Linked DNA regions of Zea mays. Each later gene encodes a partner of the first gene's protein in a complex. Links are inferred from orthologs where the notes say so. Each region holds a gene or a part of one and is shown in the gene's direction. Other genes may lie near its edges. The genes, in order: pheophorbide a oxygenase, chloroplastic; 7-hydroxymethyl chlorophyll a reductase, chloroplastic; Probable chlorophyll(ide) b reductase NYC1, chloroplastic.

Region 1 (3,751 bases):
GCACACATATTCATCTTTCTCCAAACGCAAGTCTCGTGATATTTATATTCTCGTGCCAGCTAGATTATCTAGAAATTTAGATTCTTAAAAAAATTCTTTAGAAAAAAAATTATACCAAACAGGACCATGGTTTAAACTATTACGGATAAATAGCATGACTACCTTAGTATTTAAATGATATCAGTTGAAATATGTCGACTTATTTTATAGTTAGTATTATTAGAACATGTTTAAATAATTATCACATTTAAACCAGATCTACATATAAACTATTTTGCTTGTCAACTGCATCGCAAACTCACTTGCCTACCATCGGGATCGCGCTCGTATACAAGTGACACACTTTAAATGATTTAAGCCGCGAAAATTATAAATGTACCATCCTCATTTGACAAGTCTAAAGATAGCTTTACCATACAAATGAAACTAAATTTAAAATTCCAAGTAATAATTAGAAAAACTGATTTGACAGTTTTTTCAGTATATATTTAGCAGCTCGCTAAATCTGAATTTAGAAAGTTTTTTTGAAATGAGTTGAGATGCTCTTATAATGGTTACTATAGGTTGAGGGACGGAAGTAGTAGTAGAACTGGTAAACAAATTCGAATTTGATCTATTCAACTTTGTAGCTACTCAGCAAGATGCGAATTGCAAACATCCGGCGGGGTGGATTCCGCCACGGCCCACGGGTGGGTTCGTGTCGTTCTCACCGCCGGTCAGGTCTCCCCTCCGCGCGGCGCATTCGTCCCGGTGGGGACGGCTAGCTGGCCCAATGCAAGCTCCACCGCACAAATGCCGCAAAGCGCCATGCGTGGTCGCGTACAATTGTCCTCCTTCCCCGCCCTTCCTCCCTTCCCTGCCGTGACGCAACCACACTGCGCTCACCATGTGTACAATGTATTCTCCCTAGCCGAACCGTATCAGTAGTTCTTAGGGGTGGGCGTTCGGGTTACCCGAAATTTTCGGGTTGGGTAATTCAAGTTTTTTAAATTTCGGGTTTTGAGAATCAATACCCGAAATTACAACGGATTTTTCAATACCCGGAATTTCGGGTACCCGGAATTTCGGGTTCGGGTTCGGGTATTCCCAAACTACCCGAACTATTGTGTTGGCTTCATAAAAACACATACACCCTATTAAATTAGTATAAAAATATAGTTTGAATAATGATATACATGGACATATAAAACACAAACAATCTACAATCCCAAGTTATGCACACTTACACATAATTATAGATGTACAAATTAATTATTAAGCATGACATGAGTACATGACACATGAAAGTTCGGGTAATTCGGGTATTTCGGGTACCCGATTGTGATACCCGAATTACCCGAAATAATTTCGGGTTTTGCAAGTTGCTACCCGAAATTCCCAAACAAAATTCGGGTTTCGGGTATTTCGGGTTCGGGTTCGGGTATTCCAGGTTTGGGTTTCGGGTTACGGGTTTTTTGCCCAGCCCTACTAGTTCTTCCCTCGCGTTCACTCCCCAGCGTGGGAAAATCCCGGAATTTTCTTGTTTGTCCACTGGTTTTCTTGCGCCAAAACCAGGTTTCTCCCCGTTGCCGTGGCAGAACTCTGTTCTTGCCCAGTCTAGAAGATCTGCACCGTTCCAACCACCGACTCCGGCCGCCAAGCATATAGCCAGCGCGGCGAAGAATTCCCAACGCGAAAGCCAAAACCTCTTCACTTCACTTCACGTCGACACGTGCGGGGAGAATATGCGCGCGACAATCCCAGCCCTGTCGCTCCTGGTGACGCCGCGGCTCCCCTCGCTCGCCGTGCCGCTGGCTGGAGGCCGCCTCCGCGTGGGCGGTCGTTCTCGGACCCGCCTCCGCGTGGCGGCGCCGACGTCCGTCCCAGGGGAAGCGGCGGAGCAGGCGGAGCCGAGCACGTCGGCGCCCGAGTCCGGCGAGAAGTTCTCGTGGAGGGATCACTGGTACCCGGTCTCCCTCGTCGAGGACCTCGACCCCAGCCGCCCCACCCCGTTCCAGCTCCTCAACCGCGACCTCGTCATCTGGAAGGAACCCAAGTCCGGCGAGTGGGTCGCGCTCGACGACCGCTGCCCCCACCGCCTTGCCCCGCTCTCGGTACGGCGACCCGCATCCCTTCCTCGCCTCATCCGTGTCCTACCGGATCTCTTCCTCGTTTCGGCTAATTTTGGTCTGGGCATGTGCAGGAGGGCAGGATCGATGAGACGGGGTGCTTGCAGTGCTCGTATCACGGATGGTCATTCGATGGCTCCGGCGCCTGCACCAAGATCCCCCAGGCCATGCCCGAGGGTCCTGAGGCCCGTGCGGTGCGGTCACCGAAGGCGTGCGCGATCAAGTTCCCCACCCTCGTCTCCCAGGGGCTGCTCTTCGTGTGGCCCGATGAGAATGGGTGGGAGAAAGCGGCCGCCACCAAGCCTCCAATGTGCGTAGAGTCAGACTTTGGACTGCGGCTAATTGGTTGGATTCAGTTTTGCATTTCGGTGTCTGAATTCGATCTTGTTTGGTTTCAGGTTGCCGAAAGAATTTGAGGACCCGGCCTTCTCCACGGTGACAATCCAGAGGGACTTGTTCTATGGTTATGATACGTTGATGGAGAACGTCTCTGATCCGTCCCATATAGAATTTGCTCACCACAAGGTACTTGGTACAGTGAGAAAGCTTAGTTGCTTGCCACACTTAAGCACCATGATAGTATTTTTCAGTTGAAAGTTGGTGATTCGAGGAAAGATGTTTTGTTGCAACCAATTTGTGTAGTTTGCTAAAAAATCACCACCTCAATACTGTTTAATTGTGTAGGCCTCTTATCGTTTCTGATTGCCAGTGTGCAAGTTTAACTAACTGTTAGATCTTAACTGTGGATGTACCCATATATTTTTTTTGCATCATAGTTTTATTCTTTTTTACTTATGCTGCATTGAAATTCCTCAGAAATGACTTATAATGGGCAAAAGGGCTGAATGGTCTGAGTCTGGCCTCTTATCGTTTCTGATTGCCAGCGTGCAAGTTTAACTAAGGTCCCGTTTGGTTTGAGGGATTAAATATCAGTGCCTCCATTTTAGTCCCATTTAGTCCATAAATTGACAAACGGTGGGACTAAAACAAGGACTAAACTGTTCTAGTCTCTAGTCCCTCAAGGGATGACTCTAAGGGGCTAAACCATAAAAATCCACTTTTTGGCCCTCCTTCATTTCAGTTGCACTAATGGCGGGAGGATGTTAAGGAGTATTTTGGTCTTCTTATGATTCATTTAATGTGTTTTGAATACTTATAGTTTTTAGAACCAAACAGGGTAGGGACTAAATTTTAGTCTTCTAACTAAACTTTCGTCCCTGGACTAAAGGAACCAAACCCTAACTGTTAGATCTTAACTGTGGATGCACCCATATATATTTTTGCATCATAGTTTTATTCTTTTTTACTTACGCTACTTGCTTAGTCTGAACAGGCATTAATAGGGTGTTTGGTTTGAGGGATTAGTTAGTTCACCCACTCATTCCTCTTTTCTTTGTTTGGTTTGTTGAATGGAGTAGGTTGGTCAGTGCATTATCACATCATTCCTCAGACTAGTAGTTAGTACTAGTATGAAGAATGGGGTCATTCAACCAAATTTAAGGAATTGACTCATGATGCATCACCACATTTAGAATGGAGTGGCTCCTCAAACCAAACCCTATAAATGACTGGCTGAGTTAATTGTGCTATCTGTGTGTCATGAACTTGTGCCGGCAGCATAGACAAACAAAATGCTTTATTTT
Region 2 (3,751 bases), about 200 Mb from region 1:
CCATTGCATATGATATATGTCTCGTGTCAGATTTTAACTACAAAACATCTGAAGCAGAGCTCGAGTTAGCTCAAACAATCTATCAGATTTTAAACTGAAGAGTGAAATAACATGCGAGAGATGAGTTCACTGGCAAGCTATTGCTCCATATATACGTGGTGGACTGGAATCGCGTGATGTGTGCTGATAGATTCTGCTAAGGCAAAAAAGAATGCTTAGTTTTTCTGGTTTCAACGTAGATCATCTTTACCACTTTATGAACAAATTAGATAAAATTACTACTTTATGCAAAAATTAGGTACAATTACACATAAATAGTGGTCATCTTTACCACTTTATGAAAAAATTAGATAAAATTACTACTTTATGCAAAAATTAGGTACAATTACACATAAATAGTAGTTTGGGCCTTTATTGGATTTACATCCACACCCATCTAACCAACAGAAGATATATATTTTGTGTTTTGTAAAACAAAGTCTATCAATAGGTAGTGGTTTGAATATTTGTTTGTTGTACATCCACCTTCATCTAACCAACAGAACCCACATGTTTTCGTGATTTGTTAAAATAAAGTCTAATTGTTTGATATATAGAAACCGTAACAACGCACGTGCAATTAGCTATAATAAGATTACATATTTATCTCGCCAATATAATAGTTTTACAGTGATATTTTGCCACATAGATTTTGCATATCATAATGTTGTTTATCGTTTCGTATCTATGTTTTATACTATTTTTTTTACTTTCGTAGCAACGCATGGGCATGAACCTAGTCATATATATGATCGCGTAAAAAATTATTTTATATTGTATACTACTGTTTATAAGAGTTAAGTTTAAAATAGCGGTTGAGATATGAGATATGATGAGTAAGGTGTTGAAGACAATCTAAGAGTACGGATCGTCGTCCCACCAAAAGGAGGGACTACGAAGTAAAAAAATACATATATGGGCGGCATAATTTCTGTTAACTTTTTATCCGGGGTATAGTGTTGAATTTTGAATATTTTTAAATATGAAAACCAAAAAGATGCACTATGCATCGATGGGTGGACATTTTGCAGGCTCCGAATTTTCCTCAAAGGGTGGACATGAGCCGAAATTCATGAGGTGGCCCAGTAACAGTAGTTTCTCTTAAAGGCTCAAGGCATGACTCCTCCATCTCCACTCGATCCTCCGTCTTATCACCGGTGAGGTACTGAGGTGAGACGATCTCCGCCACCATGGCCTCCAGCACCTCCCTCTCCCTTTGCTTGCACGCCTCGTCGCCCTCGTCCTCGTCTCCTGGACTCCGCCGACCCTCCCTCGCCTCCTCCTCGTCCTCCAGGTCCGAGAGAACGCGCAAGATCAGGGCCAAGGCGGTCAGGGAGGACTGGAGGCAGAAATCCAAGCCCATCCCTCCTGGCGCCGTCTACCCTGCCAAGGACCACTGCAGGTATATGCCTGCTGTGCTGCGCATTTCTTTGTTTGTTTGTGTGTTTATGTGATGCGAATATGCGATGCTTACCTCTGTTCCTATTTCTACTCGTATGGCGATTCAAGCCGTTGTGGGCTCTGCGACACATACTACGTTGCGCATGTCAAGACTGCCTGTGCCTTCCTGGGAGACGGCATGTCCCGTGTCGAGGTCACCTCCCTTCATCTTCGCATCACATCACCTGCCTAGAACGGCTCAAACAGTTTGCTGAATGAAAACAAAAATGATCGTCTGATGTTTGATCAAGCCATGGGCTGCAGTGCTGCACGCAGTTACTCCCTCCGTCGAAAGTTATAGTTCAACTTTTCTAACTCTGACCAAGTTCATAGAGACCATCTACAATATCAAAATGATTTCATCAATTTCTTCGTGAAAAATGTCTTGATAGTTTATTTGAACATATACAGAGGGAGTATATTTTTTTATAAAATACTTAGGTCAAGTCAAAGTTAAAAGAAGTTTTGATTTAGAATAAAGCTAAAGTGAACTATAATTTAGACCGAGGGAGTAGTAATGCTCGACATGAATTCTACACTTTGTTTCAGTGAAATAAAGCGGGGAACTCTCCTGTTTCCTAAAAAAAGTTGACACAAATTTACAGATGCCAACACTCTCCTCACTATATTTAGGATCTTGAGCGACAAGTCCACGGGAGAGGCCGGAAGGAAGGCATGGATGAAATGTACTTTGGAGTCTATGACCAACTCTTGTATGCCAGGAAGACCGAACCTGTTGAAGGTACTAATTACCTTTTACAAGTTGTTCTTATCCTTCAACAACCGCCTGCATCCATCTAAGGAAGCACACATATGCAATATACCAGTCTTGTTCACTGCCCTTCCATAACAAACCGAAACCACATACACCTCGAATGTTGCATCTTATTTCCTACACTATCTTGATATACTCAACAAACCTTTGTTAGACAAAACTGTACCCTGACGACTTATGTTTTGTACCCTGTAACATATATGTGCCTCACATGCAACAGGAGCCCAGTGGACGGGAATAGTGACAACAATCGCTGTCGAGATGCTGAAAGCAAACATGGTTGATGCTGTGGTTTGTGTACAAAGGCACCCAAACAAGAATCAAATGCCACATCATTCTTTCTCAGTGCTATGCACAAGCATTACCACATGGATTCAAATAATGTTTTTTACCCCCTCTGCAGTGATCCTGACGACAGGCTTGCTCCAAGACCTGTTTTGGCCAGGTATTGTGAAACTGATGGCTTTCAGAATTGTCCTTTATGGCTTGTGTATAACACTCCTTGACTGGATATACTTTTGCAATTCCAGACTTTCTGTAACTATTTTGAGCTTAAACTTTTGTTATCAGTCCATCCATGAATTACTCATGCTAATCATTATGTCCCTTGATTTCTAGAATGGAAGTGACATTTAATCTCAGTAGCCATGCTCTTGTAGGACACCAGACGAAGTAATTGCAGCCAAAGGTGTGAAGCCAACATTATCACCAAATCTCAATACACTTGCCTTAGTCGAGGTAAGTCGCTCCTTTTAACTCTATACTTCCCATGCCCCCTTATTCTTGATGCAAGCTATGGTGCCATGCCTCCTTTCCCTTTCTTATAACATATAGAAGTAATAATGGGTCATATCAGCAGATCTCTGAGAGTCAGAGAGAATCAGCTGTCCTAATATTAATTTAGGGTTAATTGATCCAGATATTCGTTCCCATTTCCCAATTCAAGAGAATTAGAAGTAGTTCAATTATATTTGAATTTGTTGCTTGGCAAGACCGCAAATGTAATTCTATTAGCCTATTAAATCTGGAGTAGCCCCACATTCTAGTGGGTTCCAAAGCCTATTCCAATCATCCCTCCAACCATAACAATACATATGATATCCTATAGTGACCAGTTTATAAATCCAGAGAGTTTCACAGTTTCCTTTGGCAGGCAGCTGGTGTAAAGCGGCTTCTTTTCTGCGGTGTGGGCTGTCAAGTGCAAGGTCTTTTCCTTTACCTGGCCTTTCTTCTCTTTCTATTGCTGATGTTTTATCAAATGTAAAAGTAAAAGTTGCTAAAGTTATTGTTTGAACTACAGCTTTGAGATCTGTAGAAAAGTACCTTGGTTTGGAAAAGCTTTATGTGCTTGGAACAAACTGTGGTAATTTCCATTTCTCCTCTCAAACCAGTCAATATTTACATTTTCTGTCGTGGAAGATAATATTGTAGCTCTAACATACTGTATTTTTCTTAGTTGACAATGGTACGCGTGAAGGGCTTGATAAATTCTTGAAA
Region 3 (3,751 bases), on another chromosome or scaffold:
CTACATAACCCTAGAGCGAACCGGACCAGCGTTGCAGCTGTCACTCTACTTTTGCTCTGGGTCCGACCCACTGACTCAAAGCCCGACGAGCTAGGACGATCGTCGATGGTTCAGTGCACGTACGTTTGCCGTGGCACTCCCGCGCGCGCACGCCGCAGCCAACTCAACCGATGGATGGACGGTCAAACCAAGCAGGCGAACGGAGTCGGCAGCACAGCCACAGCGCTGAGTCACCTCCTCGCGTGCGTTTGCGTGCCGGACTAACGGGAGTTGCGTTGCGTGCACGTGTTTATTTGCTCTAATAACCGCGCACGCTTGGCGTCGCCGTACGTGTAACAGGAATTTTTTGCCACTAATGTGCATCTGCAAGTTTTGTCCTGTCGTAAACACCAGATGATGCTGCCGAACACGTACGAGTTGCGTTTAGGGAAAAAAATTTGTTGCAGCCCGGCTGCAAACCAGGCTGTTTGCAGCCCCTCACAAAAAGGTGGATAGGCCCCACCTGCAGGTCCACCAGATAACGTTTTAGTTGTATTATTTACCTGCGGGTGGGACCTATCCTCCTTTTTGTGAGGGGCTGCAAACAGCCTGGTTTGCAGCCGGGCTGCAACAAATTTTTTTCCTGCGTTTAGGGTTTTGGACGACGACGAAACATTGGCATCCGGGGGGGCTCGGAGGTCCCGTGCAGATCTCGTTCGCAGACAAATAAAAATATAACATGGGCCAAAATGCTCAAACGACACGTACGTACGCGTTTACAAGTATCTGTCTAGGATTCTGAGATATTTCTTCGACGATTCTGAGATACTTGATTTTTTTGCTGACATCTGTGTGCTAGCCCTGGTCCGAGCTCTATCTCCGTGTCCGTGGAATGGACTGGACAGGGACTCGGTGCAGCCGCATCCGCCCAGCGCTGGGGACCCTGAAGCCAAAGCGAACGGCCACGTGGCGCCTATCCGCGCGAATGGGACGGATGGATGAGGTTGCAGCAGCGTGTGGCCGCCGGCCAGTTCATCTGAGCCCAAAGAACTTCACAAACCAGTCCAGGGTCCTTTCTGCAATAACCTGAAGAAGCTACGATTATTATATTTATTCACTGGTAAAGCCCAGTGGAGAGCACACGCCTCTTCTCCCCCCCCAAAAAATCCAGCAGCAGCAGCAAGCCCCACGCAACATTAGCAGCAGGAGACCACCCCAATCCCCCACGGACATTCGCCGCGAACCCTTATCTGCACGCCGCGCCATGGCCGCCGCCGCCGCCGCCGCGGTCGCCCACCTCTCCATCCACGGCCGCCTCCGCCGCTCACCGGAGCATCGGCCGTCCATCACCACCACCACCACCTCCTCCTCTTCCTCGTCCGCTCACCGCCCGTCCCTGCTGCGGTGCCGCGCGTTCAAGCAGGAGGCCGGCGACGGCGACCCGGCTGAGGCCGACGCGCGGAAGCGCAGGAAGGGCCCGCTGTACAAGCTCAAGGCGGCGATCCAGGGCCTCGCGGGATCCCGCTCCGCCGCCGCCGAGGTGTACGGGGGAGAGTACCAGTACCAGCGCGCCGTCGAGAAGGCGGAGGAGATATTCTTCTCGGTGAGCACCGCACCGGCCTCCGCTCGCGAATCCTTGCGGCGTGCCCCCCACCCTCACCAGTCACCACGCTTATCTGTTTGCTCACACACACACCTGAATGAATTGCCTAACTATGCTGGAGTACTACTATCAGGAACGCAAATAAATGTCCAGTGCTCGCTAATTACAGCCTTAGTACCTTAAACCGTGGCATCATGAACAAACAAGGGTTTGTTCATTGTTGCATGTGATCCAGGCTTGCAGTCCACCATACCAAGTCGTATATTTCTCTTATTCCATTTCTCCTGTGCATAAGGGTTTCTTATATGTTTGCTGATCTCAGTCACCTTCTCGCAGGTTACTACTCAGCTAGGCAGATATGTTATCACTATGATGAGCAGCGGTGTTGTACTTGGGGTTGGATTCCAGCTGTCAGGTTTGCCATACGTTTATGCCTCTCGTTTCATTTCACTCTTGGCCTTTTCCTGAAATTCCAATTTAATTAGACGGACTATTTTTTTTAAACCCCTCACCCAGGTGGAGACAGCCAAATGAACGAACTAATTTGGTATAGCTGGCTTGGTGGGGTGATTATCGGCACAATGATAGGTGCAAACAGTGTCCTAGAGGAACACTGCAAAGCTGGACCTCGCAATGTCGTCATAACTGGAAGGTACCTTGTTTCCATCCTTCGTTCAAGATGCCTTCTGCAAAATTTTCCAGGACTCTGTATGCACCATTTTTCAATTTTCATTTATTAGCTGACTTGCCCTGTAAGAAAAGTATTGCACAGCATATTATTGATAGCATATGAAATCACTCTAGAAAACAGAAACTGTCGAGGTTAATGGATTTAGCTACTTAAGAAGGAAATAAAGTTTGGCTGTGTTTTTCAAGTTTTTGCAGTTTCACTGCTCACGGCCATTGGATAGGTTATTTCATACTGTTGTTTCTTATTTCGGCAATTAGCATTGACATCAGTTTTTTTTTTTTTGTTATAAAAAAATTCCAGCACAAGAGGGTTAGGAAAAGCGCTTGCTCGTGAGTTTCTTCTTTCTGGAGACCGTGTTGTAATTACTTCACGAAGGTGATATTCATGAGAACTTTAGTCTAGTTCTACAAGGTTTCATACTTTTTCCTTATGGAGCTTTATGCTTTATTTTAGTTTTAAATATTTTCTTTTTGTGATGGCAGTCCTGAATCAGTCCTTCAGACTATAAAAGAACTTGAAGAGAACATACAGGAAGGGTTATCTGTTGCCAAAAAGAAGCAGAGGAATATTCTATCGCATGCCAAGGTTGTTGGTACAGATTGTGATGTCTGTAAACCTGAAGATGTGAAGGAGTTAGTGAATTTTGCTATTAATGAGCTTGGTTCAGTTGATATTTGGGTAGGTAATTCATTACAGTTTTGTAGCTTAAATCTATATCTTATTTGGTCTACCTTTTGTTTTGCTAAAGAAATATTTAAGTAAAGTTGGATTATACAGAGTTTATAACATTTACATCAGTTGTGAAATGTACTTTATATATATGATGACATTAAGATAGATTTTGTGGTGCCCACTTTTATGCTTTTCTGTATGGTTCTATGGCTACATCAAAGAAGAATATTATTTACCACTTCTTCTCCAACCTTGTGTGCAGATAAATAACGCTGGCACAAATAAAGGTTTTAGGCCATTGGTAACCTTTTCAGATGATGACATCACTCAGGTTCGTTATTGTTATATTATGTTGTGTTTTTATCATTTTTTATGTATGTATCATTGATCAGAGGACCTGGCTTAATCATGCTACCTTATTTCCATCTTTTTATTAATTTATTCTGATCTATTTCATGTTGTTACAGATCGTCTCAACAAACCTAGTTGGTTCTCTACTGTGCACCAGAGAAGCCATGAATGTCATGCAATACCAAGAGAAGGGAGGCCATATATTCAACATGGATGGAGCAGGTTCTGGAGGATCAAGCACACCACTAACAGCTGTGTAAGCATCTTAGCTTTCGAATACTCTGTTGCTTCTTTATAGCTTCTACTGTATAGATGTGTGTTTTTTGTTGCTAAAACTTGAGTGTCCTGTATTGGAGTTCTTTATGTTATGAAGCGAGATCTGATGCTGAACTCAAATTTGTAGCTATGGTTCAACTAAATGTGGACTAAAGCAGTTCCAAGGATCACTTCTGAAC

The links.
Region 2: pheophorbide a oxygenase, chloroplastic (region 1) and 7-hydroxymethyl chlorophyll a reductase, chloroplastic share a complex: the UniProt entries of both Arabidopsis thaliana proteins name them as parts of the SGR1-CCE-LHCII complex. The link is inferred for Zea mays from reciprocal best matches to the Arabidopsis thaliana genes ACD1 and HCAR.
Region 3: pheophorbide a oxygenase, chloroplastic (region 1) and Probable chlorophyll(ide) b reductase NYC1, chloroplastic share a complex: the UniProt entries of both Arabidopsis thaliana proteins name them as parts of the SGR1-CCE-LHCII complex. The link is inferred for Zea mays from reciprocal best matches to the Arabidopsis thaliana genes ACD1 and NYC1.

Annotation. Positions count from the first base shown.
Region 1 is NC_050096.1:10,195,715-10,199,465, forward strand, and holds the start of pheophorbide a oxygenase, chloroplastic, read left to right. Parts: upstream 1-1,460; 5' UTR 1,461-1,724; coding exon 1,725-2,093; intron 2,094-2,182; coding exon 2,183-2,418; intron 2,419-2,506; coding exon 2,507-2,633; intron 2,634-3,751. UniProt on the Arabidopsis thaliana protein: Catalyzes the key reaction of chlorophyll catabolism, porphyrin macrocycle cleavage of pheophorbide a (pheide a) to a primary fluorescent catabolite (pFCC). Works in a two-step reaction with red chlorophyll catabolite reductase (RCCR).
Region 2 is NC_050096.1:206,311,217-206,314,967, forward strand, and holds the start of 7-hydroxymethyl chlorophyll a reductase, chloroplastic, read left to right. Parts: upstream 1-1,125; 5' UTR 1,126-1,229; coding exon 1,230-1,441; intron 1,442-1,548; coding exon 1,549-1,633; intron 1,634-2,112; coding exon 2,113-2,221; intron 2,222-2,474; coding exon 2,475-2,559; intron 2,560-2,657; coding exon 2,658-2,699; intron 2,700-2,913; coding exon 2,914-2,992; intron 2,993-3,407; coding exon 3,408-3,459; intron 3,460-3,554; coding exon 3,555-3,617; intron 3,618-3,710; coding exon 3,711-3,751. UniProt on the Arabidopsis thaliana protein: Probable iron-sulfur flavoprotein that converts 7-hydroxymethyl chlorophyll a to chlorophyll a using ferredoxin as a reducing equivalent. Catalyzes the reduction of a hydroxymethyl group to a methyl group. Belongs to the chlorophyll catabolic enzymes (CCEs).
Region 3 is NC_050098.1:2,270,114-2,273,864, reverse strand, and holds the start of Probable chlorophyll(ide) b reductase NYC1, chloroplastic, read left to right. Parts: upstream 1-1,078; 5' UTR 1,079-1,243; coding exon 1,244-1,582; intron 1,583-1,918; coding exon 1,919-1,997; intron 1,998-2,098; coding exon 2,099-2,234; intron 2,235-2,573; coding exon 2,574-2,648; intron 2,649-2,755; coding exon 2,756-2,951; intron 2,952-3,207; coding exon 3,208-3,276; intron 3,277-3,412; coding exon 3,413-3,552; intron 3,553-3,699; coding exon 3,700-3,751. UniProt on the Arabidopsis thaliana protein: Involved in chlorophyll b degradation. Belongs to the chlorophyll catabolic enzymes (CCEs).